Struthio camelus: one gene and its partner. The protein of the gene in region 1 purifies or fractionates together with the protein of each later gene. This does not show direct contact. Links are inferred from orthologs where the notes say so. Each region holds a gene or a part of one and is shown on either strand. Other genes may lie near its edges.

Evidence for each region. Proteins that work in one complex are often made in the same cells at the same time.
Region 2: the proteins of TULP3 (region 1) and WDR35 purify together in Homo sapiens (affinity purification with mass spectrometry; 5 studies listed by BioGRID and IntAct, counting the BioPlex papers as one, with this or other methods). This does not show direct contact. The link is inferred for Struthio camelus from reciprocal best matches to the Homo sapiens genes TULP3 and WDR35.

Annotation. Positions count from the first base shown.
Region 1 is NC_090942.1:88,352,786-88,363,564, forward strand, and holds the start of TULP3 (tubby-related protein 3), read right to left. Parts: upstream 6,197-10,779; coding exon 5,807-6,196; intron 5,742-5,806; exon of another isoform or gene 5,447-5,741; intron 1,202-5,446; coding exon 1,152-1,201; intron 746-1,151; exon of another isoform or gene 649-745; intron 1-648. Other genes in the region: RHNO1 (RAD9, HUS1, RAD1-interacting nuclear orphan protein 1), read right to left, coding at 6,591-7,232, 9,541-9,708. UniProt on the Homo sapiens protein: Negative regulator of the Shh signaling transduction pathway: recruited to primary cilia via association with the IFT complex A (IFT-A) and is required for recruitment of G protein-coupled receptor GPR161 to cilia, a promoter of PKA-dependent basal repression machinery in Shh signaling.
Region 2 is NC_090944.1:18,656,494-18,667,272, forward strand, and holds the start of WDR35 (WD repeat-containing protein 35), read left to right. Parts: upstream 1-3,804; 5' UTR 3,805-3,955; coding exon 3,956-3,979; intron 3,980-4,571; coding exon 4,572-4,689; intron 4,690-5,350; coding exon 5,351-5,422; intron 5,423-6,816; coding exon 6,817-6,909; intron 6,910-8,346; coding exon 8,347-8,475; intron 8,476-8,706; coding exon 8,707-8,840; intron 8,841-10,262; coding exon 10,263-10,428; intron 10,429-10,520; coding exon 10,521-10,666; intron 10,667-10,779. UniProt on the Homo sapiens protein: As a component of the IFT complex A (IFT-A), a complex required for retrograde ciliary transport and entry into cilia of G protein-coupled receptors (GPCRs), it is involved in ciliogenesis and ciliary protein trafficking.

The DNA of each region.
Region 1 (10,779 bases):
CTAGTTAATGCAGAAAACTACTCCTTATCAGTGTAGAAAACACAAACATTCTCTTCTTAACAGCACTCATTCCAATGATCTTGTAAGGTAAAATAAAATGGAATAAGCAAGCTGAAATGACAATTCAGAAGAATCATCCCTATCTTCATTTCCAAAATGAGAGCCAGTGGAAACACAAATCCCTAGCATAGAATTAGTAAAATCATATGATCTCATAAATGCAATGGAATATGCTTTGCACTATTAGATACCTACACAAACACACCGTGAAACAGAAAAGTCTAATGTTGCAGCAGATTGTCATACACACTAATCAGGAACCTGCTAGTAACGTAACAGAACATTGAGAAAAGAAGGGTCTATGCAAGAAGTTGAATAATGGTAAGATAAAGAATAAAGCATATCCTATCTCAACCCTTTTTCAGATATGGACTGATAGTGTCTGTTTCAGTTCTGGAGATTACAAGATAAATGAAAATGGTTTAGACCCAGGTGTGAAAGAGGGAGCTAGATGCCAATAAAGAATACAAGTGTTACAAGAAAATTCAATAGGAGCATAAGTGGCACAAAAAGGTTAAAATATGAATTCAGAGCTGTTTAAGCTGATGTACTGGTCAGTTTTTTGTATGCCATTCAAAACAGACTTACCGGGTACCAAAGATTAGCTCCTGTTACTTGTAATTACAGAATGAAGCAATGAAAATAAAGCAGCACTCTCTGGACAGAAGCTAGCAAATCTTGTTATCTGGAAGATAAAGAAGAGTGCAAACAAAAGCCCGTGCCATTCTCTACTGTACTACGGTAGAAGAATAGAAGGTAGATCCTTTTATTTTCTTAGCCAAAAAAGGCTTAAGTAGGTCAATGCAGCATATCTAAAGTGAAAGGAATATTGTTTTCCTGGAAGGAAGCCAGAAATCAACACAAGCCATTAACCATTAAAGCCATCAGGTAGGTTGGGAAGGAGGCACAGAGGGAGACAACAATAAGAACAGGAACATACATGTTCACTTATGTTCAACTGTGTAGTCAAACAGAACAAGAGGAAAATAAAATCTGGAGGAATTAATCTCAACAAACTACACTGAGACTGAGCATCAAAAATTGTTTTTTTTATTATATATATTTGTAGGAGGAGAGGACAAAGAAAATACCTGGCAGGTACACTCATTTGAGAGTTCATAGCTGATGATTCCCAATGATCCTGGAATTGACAGGGAAGATACAAATCCATGGTGTAACTTGAGGAAGGTCTTCTCAGCTCTGAACCACCAACACAACTGCAGAATGCTATGCTTCCAAAAACAAGTATTCATTTTTTGTTTAAATCCAGCTAAAACTTGGGTTTCAGATAGGGAAAATAAAGGACACCTTTAATGCATAAGCAGAATACCAGCTTTCTATTTAGTCATCTCAACTATATGATCCAAATTCCAAAGGCTGTTCATTTACAGAAGCTGCTCTATGCCAGGTAACATAAAGGTATTATGAAATAGACTAGGGAAAGAGAAGAGCAAGATCCACCAGGGGCTTAGAATCTTGACTCCTCTGATTGCCACTTTGTGAATTATTAAACCTTGTCTCTGTCACTTTTGCCGACATCGTACCCCATTACACCACGAAACCAGTGAAATACAAAGCAATTGCTAGTCTATTCTCTGCTAGGAACTAGTTTCCACCTCAAACTAGCTGACTAAGCAAAATTTAGCTGCTAGATTTCAACTTTTATTTTAACCTGAAATTTCTCATAAGAAACATTAAATGGGAAAGGAGCGCAGGTTAACATGCATGACAACACAGACTTATATAACAGTATCATAAGATGTTAAAGTTCAATATACAGAACATATTTTAAACAACACTAGGGGTAAGGATAAATATTCTTGTGGCAGTCTAAGACAACAGATTTGGGCATATCAGCAAATGCACTTACAAGAGTATTCCATGATCCAACTACAACACAGTCAACGATTCTACTGTGCCCTAGTGACAAAACAAGAGCCTAGAGGTATCCCAGTGTGAATCTGTTGCAAAAAGTTTTCACACACGCACGCACACACACACAGAGTCATAATTCTCTTGTAACCAGGGCACTTGTCCCTTCTACATGCCATATCTGCATTTTTTTTTAAGCAGCTGTTGGAGCAGAGAAAAATAGTGGTTGTCTCTATAAAGATGGGTCATCAGTGATCAGCAAATGGGTCATCAGTAAAATATTAGAGGGTAGGGGGAGGATGGCAGAAGAACTATTCAAGTAACCTTCAACTTTAAGAAGACTCGTTCACTGTTTCAACAATTACAGTTAGCAATTGCATTTCAAGATGTACCTGGAAATTTTAGTGACTGGTATACAGTTCTGCTGCTACTTCCTCTCTCTTGCCAGTGTTGTCTACATCACAGGGAAATGAAGTGATTCCTTCTTCATTCACTCTGACTACAGTGGCATCAAATTTCAGCCACAAAACATTTTCTATTATTTCTAAAATGTACTCCTAGGAGCACAGCTAAACCACATTTGTAAACGTTTACAAATCCATCTCAGTTTGGACAGATTTCTTGGTGATATTGTTCAGACTTGAAAGGGATGGGACAAATGAGATAGTAAGCCAGTTCTCCTTTTATCTAAGGATAAGATTTGCAGAATTATACATTCTGGAATTTACAAAATAGTTCTTGTTAACTGAAAAAAGTCATTCATATCCAAATAAAAATACCTCAAAGACTAACAGAGATGTTGACAGACTTTTAAAAGGAAATTGATCTCATCTGGATTACAAGTATAGCTAAACTCATTAGCAAATCAGTTGTTCTTTTTTTCTCCTCCCCTGCCAATAATAGTTTAGGTGCACCTGTGCAAAACAGTCAACCCTAGCAGACCAAGATTCTTGATATCCCCTCAGCAATGCTAAGGTTTTTCAAACATGGCAAGGGTTTTTGGCTGAGCATCAATATATGAAATGATTTTTGAACCTTTTTAAGTCCATGGACTCCTAACCATTTTCAAATGGAACTAACTGACCAGTAGGTCCTTTTCTTCATTAACTTATGTAGACATTGAGGAGATATCCTAGAGCTCCTGAGTTCACAAACTGAACACTACTAACTCATGCATGCGTGGTCACTGAAGGAGCATCCCAGTTATGGAAGCCACCATTTTAGCTAGCGCCTATGTTTTGTAGTTTCCATAAAATGATGTTCTTTATACCTAACACTCTCAAGTCAGAAGCTGAAGCATATTTGGAAGACAGCCTGTGGGAAGCTTGAAATATTGCTTTATACTGCATAAGTACTGTGCAAAAAGGTGAAGTCCATCAGTCTACCAAGATTCTCAGATACATACTACCATAATCCAAATTCCTGTCTTAATATTTTAAAATACTACAAGGTTTTTAGAAACATTCAGATAAACTCATTCTATGTTATTGAACATAAACTATTTTTCATTTCATGTTAAGCCTCAGCATGGACTTTCACAAACAAAGAAGGAAGGTTTATCACTTGGCAAAATCATGAAACAGCACTATGAATCTTAGCATTTTCTAAAGCATTAAGACAGTTGTGCTATGTCTAACTGCAAGCCAATCAAACTTTAAAATGAACTCAAACATTTTCAATTATGGCCATCTTAAATGGAAGGTAGCACTGGCAGACAAGCCGCAAGTTAACACAATACCACGGTTTTAAGGGACAACACCTTTCAGGTGATGCCTAAAGCCAAGATCCAAGGTGCTTAATCATCATCAAGTATCCCACGGCACATTTACAAAACTACAGGCTTTTATTTTCTGCTTACTGCCTTCACCACCGTCCACCAGGAATAAAGTATTCTTTATTTCCTACTTTAAGTTTTAACATACAGCTCTAGAATTAAAGTATTTCACTTCAGAAAAAAAGCTACAAATGTAGGCCAGCTGATTCTAACATATAGCTTAAAATACTTTTTTTTTTTTTTTTAATTCTTCAGAGTCTTTCTTCTATAAGGTCACATGTAATATCTTGATGGCTATTAACTGTCCAGTTATTACACACCATATTTACTTTTTCCTACACAAATCACTGTTTAGACAAGCAACAATTACTTTACCAATGAAGAGTTCTAACTAGTAAATTAACAATTTCTGGATAACTTTATTCCTTTCTTCTTAGGAAGGATACAATCTTTTGCCTTCCTGCAATATATTCTAGTACTGCTGAACATTCTGAGTCAGGTCACTCCTCAGAATAAGAGATTTTTAATAGATATTTAAGGCCTACATATCTTTATTTTGGCTCACATATTCTAGTTTTCCTACCTTACCATGGAGACTAAGAAAGTTGAGGAAGGGGACTGTTTGTTTAATAAATTTGGGGGGGGGGGGTGGGAAGTAGTCATAACATGAATTGGCACTGCTGTTAGGCTATTTTTATGAGGTTGCCATAAAAGTAAGCAAAAACAGTTTCTTAGGAGAAAGAAATTATACTGTTACAGTTGCTATTAGAAAAGAAAAGAACATATCCTCTGCCTTCAGCTCTCTCAAACATTAAAGTCTAAGATATCTATGCAATGAAATTTATCAGCATCTGCTCATCGCTCTGTTAAAATTGTTTCCAGAATTGCTACACAGACTTCAGTCTTTACAGTCTGCAGAAATAAGTCTTCTAATGTGTCACAGGGTATTTGGTGGCCCTAGAAGATTATGCAGTTCATACTAACTCTATTGCCTCTTTTCACCCTTCCAAATAAAATTTACAAGTGTATCTCACAAATAAATACACTGTTCTACTCCATATTTATCGTAGTTTAGCTGTTTAAAATTTCTTCAAGTTCCTGCTTTTCCCCCATCCAAGCACTACAGGCATAAGACAGATTTTCCTCTTTGTTTGTACAGAGAGATTCTCACTTCAGGAATCATTTTAATTCTGCCAAAATCTGTTTTCACTGCCTGCCCTTAGCCTCACATTTACCTGTCAGATAATTTTGTTCTTGAGCTATTCAAACACCATAAGAATAATCCCCTTCCAAATGCTCTTCTCTGAACCTTACAGTTCTGTTTTTCCTATCATATCGGTTAAGATCCCCTCAGCTGTTCCCTCCTTTCCCTTACAATAGCGCACACAGAGCTACTGTATACCTGTAAACAGTACAGGAACAGAAGCGCAGAGTAACACTGCAAAAATGCTTCACAGCAACAACTAGAAACAAGCAAAGCAGATCAAGACTCCACAAAACCCATTTAATCTACAAGTATTTAGATGATTCATAACCTGTATAGGATAGCGAGGTACATAAAATACAGCCAGGTTTTATTACAGTTTGTGTTAGCTGAAAGTGAATTTTATTGTGCTAACACTTCCACAACACCCAGTGTGAGTACAGTTACACTAGCAGGCAGGTACTTAAGGCTATTCTAGCAAGGCACTAGGCTACTCTAAGTGCCTTTCACCATTTACAATTGCCAATAGCTTTTACCTCGGTATGGTTACGGCAACGCAAACGCTATACCGTATCACTATCCTCAGGCCCCGCGGCAGATGCTAAACAACACGGCAACAAAGTACTCCGTAGCCGCAGGAACCACTCCTGAAGCGACTACGAAGCGGAGCACCCCGAACCGCAAGAGACTCCGCGTGCCTGCCGTGTGCCCGCCACTTCTGCTCCGGGCAGATCTCGCCGCCCTCGCGCGCGATGGCCGGTCCGAACTGGGAAGCGTCCGGCGACCCGCGGCGCCGTCCCGAGCCGCCGCCCCCGGCCGGGCTCCCGCGCCGCCCGCCCACCTCATCCCTCCCTCGCTCGCTCGCTCGCTCTCCCGCCCACCAGGGCCTAGCTCACCTGCCCCCGCCGGGTGCGCCGCGGCCCCTCGCGCGCTCCATCCTCGGCCCCACCGTTGCTATGGGACCCCGGTGGCTCGCGCCCAGCCCCGGCCGCTACCATTGGCAACGGAACTCGGCACTGAAGCCCACCGCCATTGGCCGAAGGCGCAGCACTCGGCCCGCCCATTGGCCGTGGCGCCTCTCGGATGGGAGGGAGAACCGCACATGCGTAGTGCGAGGCGCCGCTCACTCCCTCCCCGGAGCGCGGCAGCCGGGCTGGGCCCCGCCCTCGCCGCCGTTCCGGGGGCTGAGTGCGGCGGGGCGGCGCCTTCCGTTGGCAGCGCTGGTACGGGAGCGCTGGGAGGGAAGAATGGCGCCGCTGTGGCGGCGGCCTCACGGGGAACAGCATTAATCCTGCCCTGCACCTCCCTCGTGGCCTCAGAACACTCTGTTGTCGCTTCTCCTGTCGCAATTGGGTACTGGGCCCTTCTGCACATCATCACCCCTGGGTGCAGAAAGCAGCTTTTGCAAGAAGGTATGTAGACTAGAAAGCTGCTATGGAGGCATCCCATTCTCAAAGGAAATCTAGCCAAAAAAAAATTTTAAAAAAAATCACAACAGAAAAAACTCACATCCTAAGAGCGTTTCTCAGTAGGGCCAGCAAACCATAGTATGGGTTTTTGCTTAAGTTACCAGCTTTGTCTGTCCTTGAAAATACCATTTTCTATTTACATTTGTCTTTGCACATAACTAAATTATTACTCCCACCAAGTCTGAAGTCACCTTGGCCTCTCTTAGAGAGGTCAGGACTGATTCATCTTCACAACTATGTCACCAGCACTCAGCCTTCCTCTCTCCCTCAGGTATTTCATTATATGAGGCCGCTGTCTCCAAGTTACCTTTACTCCATACTCATGCTCTGGAGTGTCTGTAACCAGTACTGCTGCTGAGTCCCCCCTCCCAGGGGTATCAATACTGGGTGCCAACGTTTCATGTGCAGTCCAGGCATGGCTACTAGTTTGTGGCAAAGTGCTGCTGCATCTCCAGTTCCTCAGAGAAGGCAGATGTGGAATCTGTATATCTGAGGAACTAGAGACTTCTGGTTCTACAGGCTGAGACACAGCTAATGAAGATATTTCTCTACAGTTTTTAGGATTATCCACTTGGATGTTGGCTTTTGCTGCTGTCCTTTTCTTGGGCTGCCTATGAGAGAGTTGTGTGTTCTTCCTTGGATGATCCAGACAATCTGAGGAGTGGACTGCATGTCCTTCTGAAGTCTCAAAAGTTAAAGGAGGAAACTTGCAGGCTATAGCTTTTCGACAAGCACCTCCTGCATGAAGTGAACTGTGGTTGGCATCCCGATTCTGGGCTCTGTGAGGACCACCATGTTTCTTCTGACATCCTTTCAAGCTTCCTAGGTCAGATGTTTCAAACTGTGGGCACACCTAAAGGGCAAGACAGATGAAAGATTAATTTTCTTCAGACAAAGGAATGCCAACCTTTTCTCCAGACAAAGGAATGCCAACCCCATTCTACTTCCCCCCCTTCCATCTTTCTTCCGTGTTTTCATTAAGTGGGTAATCAGGTCTGCAGCAAAGAAAAAAAAAAAAAAATCAGTCATTGATCAAGTTGGTAAACAGGGGACCCTGTTGAACTTTGAAACTATGTTCTGCCACTCTTCTCTAAGAGGAGAGTGTGGTTTAAGTGAGCTGCTGCCTATAACTTAAATCCCAAGTCTTGTGTATTTAATAAGTAGTCTAATTGACATCTACTCCTTTAACCCTTGCAGATTTAGAACAGTTTGGAGCTGGATCCTGTTTCTTTCTGTATTAGCATAACCCTGAATAAATTCAACAAATTACAGCCCAGTCTCCCTAAACAGGTTCAGGTTCAACAGACATCCATATGTGTAAGATCATTTCAAGTAAAGGATGCCCACTTAGAAGTATGAAATGACTGCAGTTATCTGTGGCTTTCTGATGATGTGTTACTCTAGAATACAGAGATTAACTACATTTTATGAAGTAAAGATGTTTTGGGGGAGTATTTTGAAAGCTTTATTAACGTAACCTAAGGTGAAGAAACCAAGTGGGCATCCAGCATCAGTGTTTTATAGAAGACAGTCAAAGCTCAACAATCTAAATTTCTGTGAAAGATTCCAGACTATTACCCAAAAGCTGGAAACCCTTCTCTTAAAGTATTCTTTTATCTTCCTAGGTCTCAACAGAAAGGGTCAGGTTCAGCGTTCTGCACTCTGCTTTCCCCTAGAGGACGTGGAGCTCAGAATAGCCTAGAATCTAGCTACCACAACTAGAGTACCCTTTCAGTATGTTGAAGTTACTGCAATCTCTCAAAAACTAAGTGCTACTGTGTAATTTATATTAAGGGTTGTGATTGTCTATTGTACTTCTGTACTGCTTGAGTGCAAAGTCATTGCGTAGCAGAATAGAGTAATGATCCCCAGATAATTATATCCTGGCACACAACTTACAAGAACACTAATGAGCTACTAACCTTGAGATGTGACTTCCTGGCTTAGAGAACATGCAAGTTATGTTTTACCAGGAGAGGAGCCTAGCAGTCAAAAGCTTATGAAAGTCTTAATATACCCTCCAGATGAGCAGAAAATCTCAGTTGCCACTGAGACAAGTTCAAAGAAGATCTGCAGAGGATGCTTCAGGAAGTTGCAAACCTACCAGCATTCTCAAATGGAATAACATCTAGTAGTTTCGGTGCTGTTGGCTTCAAATACATTTTAGAATCATTGTACATTTAGAATTGAAGTACTAAGAGTGAGTGAGTGAATCATCTTCACCACATATGTTTATATATGTAGAAATAAAATTAAAAAGGAAAAAACTGAACATGTTCTGCTCTGAAGTTAAGACACCACAAAAATAATTCTAGGTCCCCAGGGCCAGAGGAATGTCTCTCATGGGTTTGAAACCATGCTTCTTGGAGCTGCTTTGTATAGAGCTTAGAGATCCAAGTAACAATAATAGAGCTGCCCAAAGCTATAGCTGTTGTTGCATGGGAACAGTGTCCATTTTTGCAGCAGCTGTTTGCTTAAAACTCTTCACATTACACAATATAATATAAAGCGTGTATTAGGACGGTGCAAGCAATCCCTGGAATATTCTGTCAAACCAGAAAAGGAACCCATTAGAATGGCTTGTTTGGAGAGAAACTGTTCAAAACACACAGAATGGAAAAAGACGACAAGTTAGGGAACGCAGACCTGCACTCCAGGATTATTTGTTCTAAATTTAGCATAGCACCAGAATACTTAAGCCTGATTTAAATGAAAAGCCTAGTACTTTAACATCTAACATTTAGAGGTCAGGAATTATGTCAAGCAGTTAGAAGGAGGTGGAGGGGAACAGCACCTTGGAATAATGTTTTATCATGTTCAGGATTTTCAGTTGCCATATAAAGCAGAAAGTATTCTCATGAAAGTTAGTCTTTTGGAAGACAATTAGTAATAGTTGATCGGTATACACTGTACAGTTTTATGCTTTCAAATAACCAAGACATCACTGGTTGTTTGTGACAAGAACATGAAGCAACTCAAAAAGCACTTATTTATGTTTTGGACAACTATAATGAATGCAGGTCCTTGCTATTGATTTTCAGTATCTGGGACAGATAGCTTGCCTTTTTTTTTTTTTTTTTTTTTTTTTTTTTTTGAGATATGCAAGAGAATCTTGAAAACCATTTTGGCAGGACACAAAGGGAAAGATAATCTATACCAACCCAGGCAGGAGAGGTGTTTTGGTCTATAGGTTTGGTAGGAACACGTCTTGGATTCTCAGCCAAAGGTAGTGGAGATTCATAGGAATGGATAGGTCCCTCTTGCGGCCTCTCAAGGAATACCAGCTCTGCTTTCCTGGCCTTGTGGGTACATTTCTTCTTTGGAGGCATCAAGAGGTATAGTAAAACCACTTAGAAACCTCATGATGCTTGTTAGTATCAATTGGAGAAAGAGGAAGGCACCCCAAGAAGATGCTAAAGTGCTCTCAAATCTGTAGAAGGCAAATAAATGGATTTTAAGATAAGTTTGTCTGGAAACCTCAAATCTAATTTTTAACAGAAGTAAAGCCTTTATGCCACAGTACCATGTTCATATCTCTATGTAAACTCCACATTTACATCAGTAGATTTTAACCTTCTAGCTGATTTCATGTAGATTTAGCAAAAACACAATATGATAGATAATTAAAAGCCTTCCAGCTTTCTGGCTACCATGAAAGCAGGTAGCCAGATACAGTGGGAGAGCGAGACAGGCAAAAAACATAGGAATGCTCCAACTGCAAAAGGAATTCTAAACTGGCATTTTAAGCAAGACTTGGCATTATTGGGAAAATTAGTTTCTTATGGAAATATGCATTTTAGATACACAAATCAGATATCCTTATGTGAGTTTAAGGTTTTTCCTTCATTAAAAACTTTTGAAAGAAATTGATAAAGAAGGACATCAGGCCTGACTTAAACACTGAAATATAAGAACAACTGTATTCAGAACAGGCTTAGTCACTGAAATTTTAAGGAAATTCAAACCACTAAGCTGCTAGAAAAATAACAAACAAACATGAATGAATTTGTTGGACTACTGAACCAGCTCTCCAGAGGATTTAAAGAAATAATTTATTCACATAAGTATTCTATCCAGTTTAGTCATATCTGAAAAATGGTTTAGGAATTGAGAGTCCAAAAAATTTCTTTTCCTTTTTCAATTCATGAATAAAACTGCTTTGCAAGGCTGCAATCTACTAGTCTAAATTTAGGAAGGACCAGAAGCCTTTCCATTTCTAGTTGCTAGCTACCTCTATTTTTTCCATTTCAAGAATTTATTTTTTTTTTTTAACTCAGAACATAAATTGCTATTTCCCTGATGTATTCTACATATTTTGCATAGTTTTATTTACTTAGTGAAAAACTCTACATAGAATTTTAATTTGCATTCAAGAGCAGATTAGCACAGGTGAAGAAGTT
Region 2 (10,779 bases), on another chromosome or scaffold:
GAAGCTGTTATCCAGTATGGAATGTATCTACAGAATAGTTTTAAAAACAAAAGATATGAAGCTGTAATTATCCAACCTCTGCCTTTAGGAGATTACCTTCATCCGGTATTGACCAGGTGATTATGTTATGGTAAAAACTCATAAAGCCAAAAAACGTGCAACAACCAAAACGGGAAGACCTCATACAAGTGTTATTATGCACTTATCCTGCTCGTAAGGTTGCAGGTAAAGAAACTTGGATTCATTGCTTGGATTCATCGCTCCCAAGTGAAGGCGGCTCTAAACACAGCGACCTCCTTGGAGGACGTTCCAGTTCCTTGAGCATCCACTGAAGAGAAGAGAATACCTGTGCAATGGCAGGAAAATCTATTCAAGGAAAACTGTGTTCATCTGTTACACTATGTAATTATTTTCTGCTGTGTGTTTAAATGTGATTTTTAAGTTATTTCTGTTTTTTATAACTATTACAGGATTAACCCTAGGCTGGGAAAATAATTGCGTTACACAATTCATGAGTAGGGTCTCTCAAGTAGGGAATGGGTTAGACTGTTGGTATTGCCTATTCCACCCTCAATCCCTGGACACCGATTTTGGTTGGCTAGCAGAGCTTGTTTCCGGTTTAGCCTAGTATCAGTCGAATTTGACGTGTTTACTCCCTAGGGTTCCAGATTTTCAGCAGCAAACCTTTAAGGTACATTCATATGATAAAGCTCCATGGTATGTTAACGTGCCTCAGATGAACCTTTTGATTTAAGTAGGAGATAAAACTAACTGTAATTACACACTATGGTATAATTATACACAAACAAGGTTTCAGTTGGACTGTTCAAGTGCCGGCAATAATTCTGACGTAAAAACTTCATGGACTTATAAGAATAACTCAGTAATTTTAAATGACACTGAGCTAGAGAAACTGTGCACTTGGAACCTTACTTGGAGCATAAACGGTACAAACTGTCAAAGATATTATAATATTTCTTCTTCAAATGGCACATACATCTTGGGGACTAATGGTTGGTTTAGTTCTGATAAGAGCAATTGGACCATGTGCATTTGGAACTAAAGTAGCTGGTGTATAGGTGCAAACCCTTTTCGAATAATCTATTTAGGCAAATGGGAATTATCAAAATGTAAAAATACCACTGAGACTGATATTACCTCCTGCCCTACTAGGCACAGAAACAAGATTATCCCAGCAGGGAAACCTTCTATTTTGACATCTGGATGGTTCTGGCTATGTGGGACCAACGTCTACAAAAGTTTACCACCACAACGGGCCAGCACTTGTACCATGGGATGCCTAGCCCCTATGCCGATCGAGCAAAAAAAAATAACACTAAGCTTTTTGCACAATCACTATCCAATATATAGAAAAAGGGACACTTCTAACCCTATAGTGAAAAGACCTAAAAATGCCATCAATTCATGCATGTGCTGTTTCCAGGTCTAGGTGCGGTCGAGTTAGAAAAGGCTATTGTCAATATCTCTGTTACCCTTGAAATCATTTAAAACAGTACTGTAGAAGCCTTAAAAGATCTATAAAAAGAACTGAACTCTCTCTCTCAATTAGCTGTCCAAAATCAATGGGGTTTAGATTACATATTGGCCACACAGGAAGGAGTGTGTGTGCTGGTTGTTTTTATGTAAACAAATCAATACAAATTGAATATGATGTAAATGTTATTCAATAACATATACATACCTTCCATCAGGTAGCCCAAGAAGAGCTGTTGCTTAATGGCCTAGCAACAGACTGGTCATGGTTGTGGTCATGGCTACCAGATTTGGGAGTGTGGACATGACCTGTTTTAATAGTTTTGCTGTTAATTCTGGCAGTAGGAACTGTGCTTCTCTGTTGTGTCTACTGTATGGATCAAATATATTCAACCCGCTTCTCATATGAAAGGGGATATAAGTATAGACCAGCATAACATTTAAAGCAGGTATGCATGAAATAAAATGAGGGAGTGTTAAGGAATTTTCCACTATACTCTAGTTTTGCGGAAAGAACATGCAAGGTCATGCGCCCTGCAAGCAGAACATCTTATCTGACCTTGTCTTAGCCCTATTTTTTGTACAAAGTTGAAGAACCGCAAAGAAACTGGTTTAATCCAGCCGGTGGTACAGAAGTTGTTCAAAGGTAACACCAGAAGAGATGCAAAATCAGCTAATGAATAATAATAAGATAAACCATTTAAGGCTGCTGTGGAACTACCTCATACTGTAACATGGCAGCGGGATTGGTAGAACTAAGAGGCATGGATAGCTTTTATTGGTTGGGTAAATAAAGTATCGAATATGTAACAATTTACCTCAGCTTATAAGATGTAACAAAGAACTGCTCAGTGTCCTTCTTGTGCTCCCAGCTGAGAGGGACCTTGTTGCTAGCAATAAAAATTAGCAATCAAGAAATCTGACTCCTGCTGCTCATTACCAGTGCCTGTGAATGAAAAAGAGAATAGATAATATTTTATCATGGGGCATACTAATGCAGAGAACCATTATCAAAAAGAACTAAACTTCATTTTTTGGAGGATATTTGTTAATTTATTATGTTCAAAAAATTTCTAAATTAGCACTAGCCATCATATTCAGTTCTGAGATTCTTACAGGAGTTCAACCAGCTTTGCTTTATAGTTTTTTTTTTTTTTTAGATATGTGCTTCTAAACTGACATTAATTACTAAATTGGATGCTCAGTGCTGCTTACTTTTACATGTCTATGTACCTTAAGTAAAATGACGTGATGATAACCACCGGCTGGTTCTACTTCTTTACATTTGCAGATAGCCTCTTGGAGAAGAGCCAGTATGGCAATAAACTTGGTGAGATGCAGATTTAATTACTTGACTTTGTCATGATTCTCCTGTGTGACACGGAACTTTTATTTCAGTGTTTGTATTGTGGATAACTGCACTGTGAAGTATGAAAATGAAGGTCATATTCTGAGAGACATGATGGTCTATTCCTATTTTATTAAGTAGACAAGTTGGCACAGCACGATACAGAAGACAGGACACGCTGTCTTGTGTAAGTATGTCTCCCATGTTCGTCTTTTGAGTTGATCAGCTATAAGACAGCTTTGGTACGGATAATATTAATTTAGCAGCTGGGCCCAAGCTAATTTGCCTTCTGGGCTCAGTGTTGCAGAGTTAGGTTACCCCTGAAGCCCTTAGTATCCACTTGTGCAGACATGATTCCAGATTTAATCCTCCCACCTTACTCCCTGCACTAATGAGCGTCTAAAAATTGTATAATAGCATTCATTGGCTCAAACAGCAAAAAATCAGATCTCCTTCTTCCTAGGGGTTTGCTTACTCTTTCCAGACCATTGAATCTGTGTATTCACAATCTCAGTACGCGGGTAACTAACTGACCAGATCTACACGTGGTAAATGGAGGCTGTGAGGGCACAACACTGGCTTGCGAAGGAGCAAGAACGGCGTGAAACACCTGCTGCCTTGCCGACGTCAATCAGGTTACCTCAGCTAAGCGAAGACTGTGGTAACGCTGAGGGTGCACTGGAAAAGCACAGGACCCCGCCTCCGCTGCCCGGTTTGCGGGGGGCGCAAAGGCCGAGGGCTCACGGCCGGGCTCGCTCAGCGCCAGGCCGCGCCGCCCCAACGGCGCCTAACGGCTCCCCAACGGCTCCCGCGCGCCCCTCACCAGCCCGCCGGGCGGGACAGGGCGGGGCCAGGGTTGGCCCCGCCCCCCCGGCGAGGGTGCGCTCGCCGCTGCCTGGCGCTAATCCTGTCTTTCTTCTCCCGCTGCCCGGAAGTGAGGGAGGGAGCTTCCGGCGGCGGTTACTAGGGCAACCCGGTTGCCAGGGCAACGCGCTGGGCCTGCTGCCGCTGCCTCCGCCGCCACTGCCGCCGCTCTGAGGGAGAACCGCCGGGCCTTCCCCTTCCCGTCCGCGCTCACGGCGGGGCCTCCCGCTGCTCCGCCGGCCCTGCGCGATGTTCATCTACCTGAGCAAGAAGGTGCTGACGGGGGGCCGGGGGGCGTCGCGGGGGCCGGTGGAGCTCCCGCCGGGCGCTGCGGGGAGCCGCAGGGCTCGGCGCGGCCTGCGGGCGCTGGCGGGGCCGGGCCCGCTGCCGCCGGCCCCCGCCTCGGCCTGGCTCGCTCTCTCGGCTTCTGGGCTCTCGGTGGCCTTCTGCCGTCCCCTGAGAAACTGCCCCCCGGGCGCCGACCACGCGTGCGGAGACTCCGGACGCGGCTCTTCTGCGAGGGACCAGCTCGTGGCAAAGCCTGGCTTGGCAGTTTCTTCCCTCTCGCCTAACTCTTCTGCTCGGGACCCCTTCTCTGCATACGTTTAGAAATGCCCTCTTACTATTGTTTATTGCATATCTCGCATTTCCCTTTTCTGGAGCTTTGTGTTGCATCGTTTCGTTTGTGTTTATAATTGTAATCCTCTTCTGTCATTTTTTTGACTGTACTGATCTGTCAGCGTTAGAGATAAGTTTGTTGTTGCGTGTGCTGTCTTAGGTGTTTTTGAGGTGTTTTTGATTAGGGCATTTTAAATAAAACATGATTCTTACGGCTACGCAGAGATGTAAAATATTTTTTTTTCAGATTGCAATTCCTGGTAATGTTCGATTAAGATGTATTTCCTGGAATAAGGATCAAGGTTTCATAGCTTGTGGTGGAGAAGATGGGTTACTGAAAGTTTTGAAGTTAGAAGCGCAAACAGGTAAATGAGATTTTTGAAACAAAATCCACCACTTTGCAAAATTCTGAAAGTGCAGCTCTTTTCAGAAGTGACTTTACAGCACTGTATGTTTTGCATCTTTAGAGAGATGCTTGTGCATTTACATAAACAGCAAATATGCTATCACTTTCTTGTGAACATTGTTTTCCTTCAACTTGCCCTACATGTCGCTTGGCAAGCTTTTATATCTACTGAGGTCATCTTTGCTACATCTTCATGGCATTATGTTTCATTTTTGTTCTCTTCAGCATTTATTTTGGAGCTTATTTCATGATATCATGATTGTGTTTGAATGTTCTCTACTGTCTGCATTTAATTTAGAGAGAAATTTGTCTATTTTAGGAATATATTTGAAGAAAAGTGAAGTCTAATATATTTTCAAGTTTTTTTAACCTTTTATGAAAGTAAGCAAAGGGTGATGGCTATTATGATACTCTAAAAAGAGTATCTGAGTTTGGATGACAGATGTGATTAGCAAACATGTCTAGCTGAGAGATGGAAAATTCGTGCTGCAATTACACTTTTACATACTTTTAGGTGAATAGTTTTATTAATGTAAATAGTAGTTTTTAGCCACGCTATTGATACAGACACACTAATGTGTATCTTTAATTATATTAAAACTATTTTTTGTTATTTTTAGATGAAGCAAAACTAAAGGGACTTGCAGCTCCTAGCAATCTTTCTGTGAATCAGACTCTTGAAGGTCATAGTGGTAAGTCTCTTTGGGCATTTAATGTACTTTTGATTAACATAAAAATAGAAAAAGATTTCATGGCATTGATAGAGTAATTTTGTTATAACTTTTTGTTGTAAGGCTGAAATAAAGAGTATCAGTGGTAAAATCAGGTGTGTTACAGCTTGGCTATCTCCTGTTACAAAGTTACCTAATTAAAAGATCTGCAGTCAATTTTTCATGACCTGTGAGTGAATTACTGGGTTGAGAATTAAACTGATCCAGACTTTTGCTCTACTCACGGCCGCTGTGGAGCGCACGATGCAGAATGCGTGCTGCACAACCAGGCTGCACTCTACCAGTTGCTGTTTAAGGTTTGCAGTCTGCTTATGAGTTTTTCTAGATAAGTCTGCTAAATTTGACGTTATAGCCTAATCTGTGTTTTCTATTACTTCTGGTTCGACTTTTTCCAAATCATTTTGTCTCCATTCATTATCCTGAAAATGAAGTATTGATTTAGTGTTGAAGTAGCTGATGCGATCATATTTACCTGTTATCAGCGAGTGACTTTTTAATTTTTTTTTCTTTTTTTTTAAGTCTTGCACTGTTGACTGCTACCATACTTGTTCTCTGACTTCAGTTCGATTAATCTGGAGGTGCTCATCAGTTGGGCTGATTATATTTTTATGTATTTACACATTCATGTTATGTTTGCTCACATACTATCTTGGTAGTTGGTAGATAAACAGTGCTTTACAGCAGAAGATAAGGGCTAGATTGTATGCTGGGCAGCTTGTGCTGGGTGAAATGAATGGCTGGAAGTGAAGACATGAAAGAGTATAGTGCTTGAACAGAGACCAGTTTGTATCTAGTACTGAACAGATGTTACAAGATGATTATTAGAAAAATTGAAGAGGATATTTCAAGTCCAGTATTTGAGTTTTTATGAGTTGGATCACATATCAGACCTGAGGGTCTGAAGAAACAGGGTGTAGAGTGCTCTTTTTGGTAATAAGGAGGGAGATTTTGTTTTAGAATTGCTGCAGTATTGATGATCAAGCTGTAAAAAAAGAAAAAAAAAAAAATCAGCTTCCTATGAGAGGAAGGTCTTGTCAGCTTTGCAGCCAGCACGCTTGAGATGGTCAGAAAGAGCAAAACTATAATTTGGGTTTTCTGTTCAGAAGCAATATTCTGGGTAGAATTGGAAGAGGATGTTACTCAAGTGGGTGAATACATGACCAAAAGAAACAGCTTAGTAGAAGCCTGAAAGAGGAAACAAGAGTGGTACAGAAAGAAGAGTGGCTAAAACTGAATCAAAGTCAGCAGGGCGAATTTCTGTAAAACCCAAAAAACTGAGCAGGGTGACTAAGTTGTATGTGATTGTATTAACTTGTTTGTTAAGTAGAAAAAACACAATTTATAAATTTTTCTAGGTTCTGTGCAAGTGGTGACATGGAATGAACAGTATCAAAAACTAACAACCAGTGATCAAAATGGGCTCATCATTGTGTGGATGCTGTATAAAGGTATTATATAGGACAAACTTGAAACTGGATAATGTTCTGGATAACGGAAATGTATTGTGAGAAATTTTTTTTAGCAGTTTTAACAACTCTTTCTCAGATTGTAAAACTCAAAATAAATCTAAAAGGTGTTCTAAGTTCTTGTTAAGATAACTGGCTAAATTTTTTCATAAAATATTCGTCCTCCAGAGATACCTTAAGAAAAGATGTCAATTCTTAGGCATGTGCATTGTAAACCACCACAAATTTTTCATTTTCGTATCTTTGCTGCTTTATTTCCTTGGAGGAAGGTAAGGTACAGAACAATAAAAAGAAGCAGCGCTTCATTGTGTAAGTTTGGTTTTGTGCATTATTGTACAATTTTAGTAGTTCTGCTGTGGGCATCAAACACAGACATATTGATAGAATTACTAGAACTTACGAATTCTGCTTAGACCAACAATCAAATACTTTCATAAATACAATCTTTAGAAATGTTTAATTAAGGCAGTGAACTCATACGCATAACCAATATGTTGCAGTGACTGACGCTTTTTTCTTGACATTTGCATGAACACATGTACTTTGCTACATTTAAACAAATTTAAAAGCCAGCAATCAGTCTCAGTCTAATTAACCACTTTCCAATGCAAACGGGGAAGATGAGGAACATTTGTGATTTTTATCTTGGGGACTTTTATTTTATATATATATATATATGTGTGTATATATGTATATATATAAAAATGCATAAATGGAAACAAGTGAAATGCCAGCTCATTTCCTCATTTCAGGCATAAAATATCATTTGATTAGTCTTTTTACCTGCAATTTGGCTGCTGTTACATGAAGCATCACCTTTAGTGATTATGTTTCTAGTGTGTTTTGTCAGTTTTAAAGTTATCTAAGCTGCAGATCTCTTTCTGAAGGGCCTGTCTCTCAGGCCTTGGCTCCCCTCTGTGATTTCCAGTTTGTCATTTTCTTTTTGGAAGTAGCACATATCTAAACACTGGATTTCAAGATGATAATGTGTGCATAGTCTGAAGGACACTATAGTATAGTCTTGCTAGAGTGTTACGGAAAGGGCAATACAACTTCCTCTTTCAGTTCTTTTTTCACAACCTTTCCTTTTTTGTTGTATATTACATTGTGAAGTCATGTATAACACATTATCTCATGTTTATTTATCAACAGACGTTTCACAGGTTACTCCATTTCAATGAATACCTAATTTGATTTCTTGATAGTTTTTATAAGCTTTTTGGGGTCTGTGGTATGTTTTATTTAAAAAAAAAAAAACTTTTGGAATTTATTATTTATAAATTTTATTATTGTATTTGCATAATTTTTGAACTGAGAATATCTTTGCTCTTTGAAATCAGTGATTAGCATATATCTAGAATTCGTTTAAAGAGTTATCAATTCAAAAGTATAACCCAGTTTTTCATTCTCTACTAATAGGTGCTTGGTATGAAGAGATGATTAACAATAGAAATAAATCTGTTGTTCGAAGTATGAGCTGGAATGCAGACGGACAAAAGATTTGCATTGTATATGAAGATGGAGCTGTGATTGTTGGATCAGTGGATGGTAAAGTTTAAGCTCTATTACCTATTATTGTGTTTTGTAGTTTTATGTAGCTTTTGTTTTCAGTATTATTTACTTTAGAAAAACAGAGCTACAATGTACCTGTAATTAACAGTTGCTTTATAAATTGTTACTTTGACTTTCTTTAGCTGTTTTAATCTTTATGTTGGTAATTTACATCCTATTTTTAAACTTATAGTATGTTTATTAAGTACAATGAACATTCTGTTACAGGCAATCGTATTTGGGGGAAAGATCTGAAAGGTACGCACCTATGCCATGTGACCTGGTCTGCTGACAGCAAAGTTTTACTCTTCGGAATGGCAAATGGAGAAATTCATATTTATGACAATCAGGGGAATTTTATTGTAAGTTCGTGGTCTGTATAGTAAAAGTATTAACTTTCATAAGCATAAAAAATTTATTTATTTTTATTCTTTGTTCATTTATTTGTTTGGTGGACTTCAGTACTGAGAACTGGACAAGGTCTGGTACATGAAGTTTTTATTCAAGATTTAAGCAGCTGCACCTTTTTTCGTACAAATTTTCAGTAAAATTGCAAACGCTTGTCTGTCTTGTTAGCTAAATGACTATTACTTCAATTAATGCATTTTTGCTTTGCAGTTGTTGTTGGAAAGGAAAAAACATGTATGGTGGTCCTGGCCAAATTAATTGAAGCTCCTGTTAAAAGTATTAGTGTATGTCTAGAATAAAGTGGTAGTCTATTTTCTTGTTGCTCCTGTTATTATTTATTAAGTAGGGAATATTGTATGCCTCAGAGAAAGCCTAGCAGTGTTTGCTGAAAATGAAAGAGAATAACTATAATGTTGCTACATTCCTACAAGTTCTGTTTATTTACTTATTTTGCACTCCTAGTTGTTTGGAATACTGGAATAACTATAACAAAATGCTACACAAAAATAAAACATTGACTTTCAAAAGAATAACAGATTTAGAACGACACTCCGCATCTTATATCCCTATTATTGTATATTTCCTTCCTTTCTTTTTCCCTCCTTAAGAGTGAAAAATCTGATATACTTTCAATATTCTTTTCTTTAACCCCACACTGTTTCCCTCCCTCCTGCTGTGTAAGTCATGATATTTCTAGCATTTGCTGCAAATTACTTAGATTCCTTAAATAAGCTGTCGTCTTTTTTTTTCCTGCCCTCGTTTCCCAATAATATAAGCTCTCTCATTATCATACGTTACCTGGTATTCCTCCTGGAAATGACTCAGGTACACTCTTTTCTTTCAGAAAATGCTCTTACTGATGCTACCAGATGTAAAGAGCTAGTTCTTAGGAAAGTAAACTTACCTTAATGGGTGTTCTGGTTTGGATGATTGTAGTCCCAATTACTTTTATACATTACTTGAATAGACTTATTTGAAAAATCTTGAGGCCAGAAATGTTTTGAAATTAAAGTTGTTTTCCTTTCTGTTGTTTTGTAAAGCTCAAGTGTAGGTTTCTTTGTGTGCTTTTTTTCCCCTAGAGTTACTTTAAATGATCTTGCATTTCAGAGAATAAAAAAAATGCCAACATTAAAATACTTTTTTGAAATTGAAACATATGTTTTCATATACCTCATCCAGCTTTGGATAAGGAATTTTTAAAATCTTAAAAAAAATTTGAGAATATGAACGTTTTTTCTTTGGACAGAAAAAAATTTTGCACACATGTCTGCTTTTTGGGTGGGGGGGGGGGGGGACAAGGTGTCAGTATAGATAAAAATTGTTCCTCTAAATAGCATGTTGTAAATGAGTTTACATAGCTAACCATTCTTGTTTAGGTGAAAATGAAACTGAGTTGTTTGGTGAACCTAACTGGGGCATTCAGTATTGCTGGAATACACTGGTATCATGGTACAGAAGGCTACATTGAACCGGGTTGTCCTTGTCTTGCTGTCTGTTATGACAATGGAAGATGCCAGATAATGAGAGATGAGAATGACCAGAGTAGGTACAAAATTTAAGTTACTTATAGTTGACCTATTCTTGACCCAAAACTTCATATGTTTAATTCTTAATGTTTATTTCTTAAAAACTAGATCCTGTTTTGATTGACACTGGTATGAATGTAGTATGTATTCAGTGGAACCACTGTGGAAGTGTATTGGCGGTGGCAGGCTCCCTAAAAGCAACTTCTCAAGATAAAGATGTAAATATTGTGCAGTTCTATACTCCATTTGGCGAGGTAAAAATATGTAATGTACTTATTACACAACCTAAATTGTGCTTTATCTTATTTGGCATATTTTGTCTAGGTAGTCGTTACTCATGGATTTGGATGCCAGTATATAGATTTTC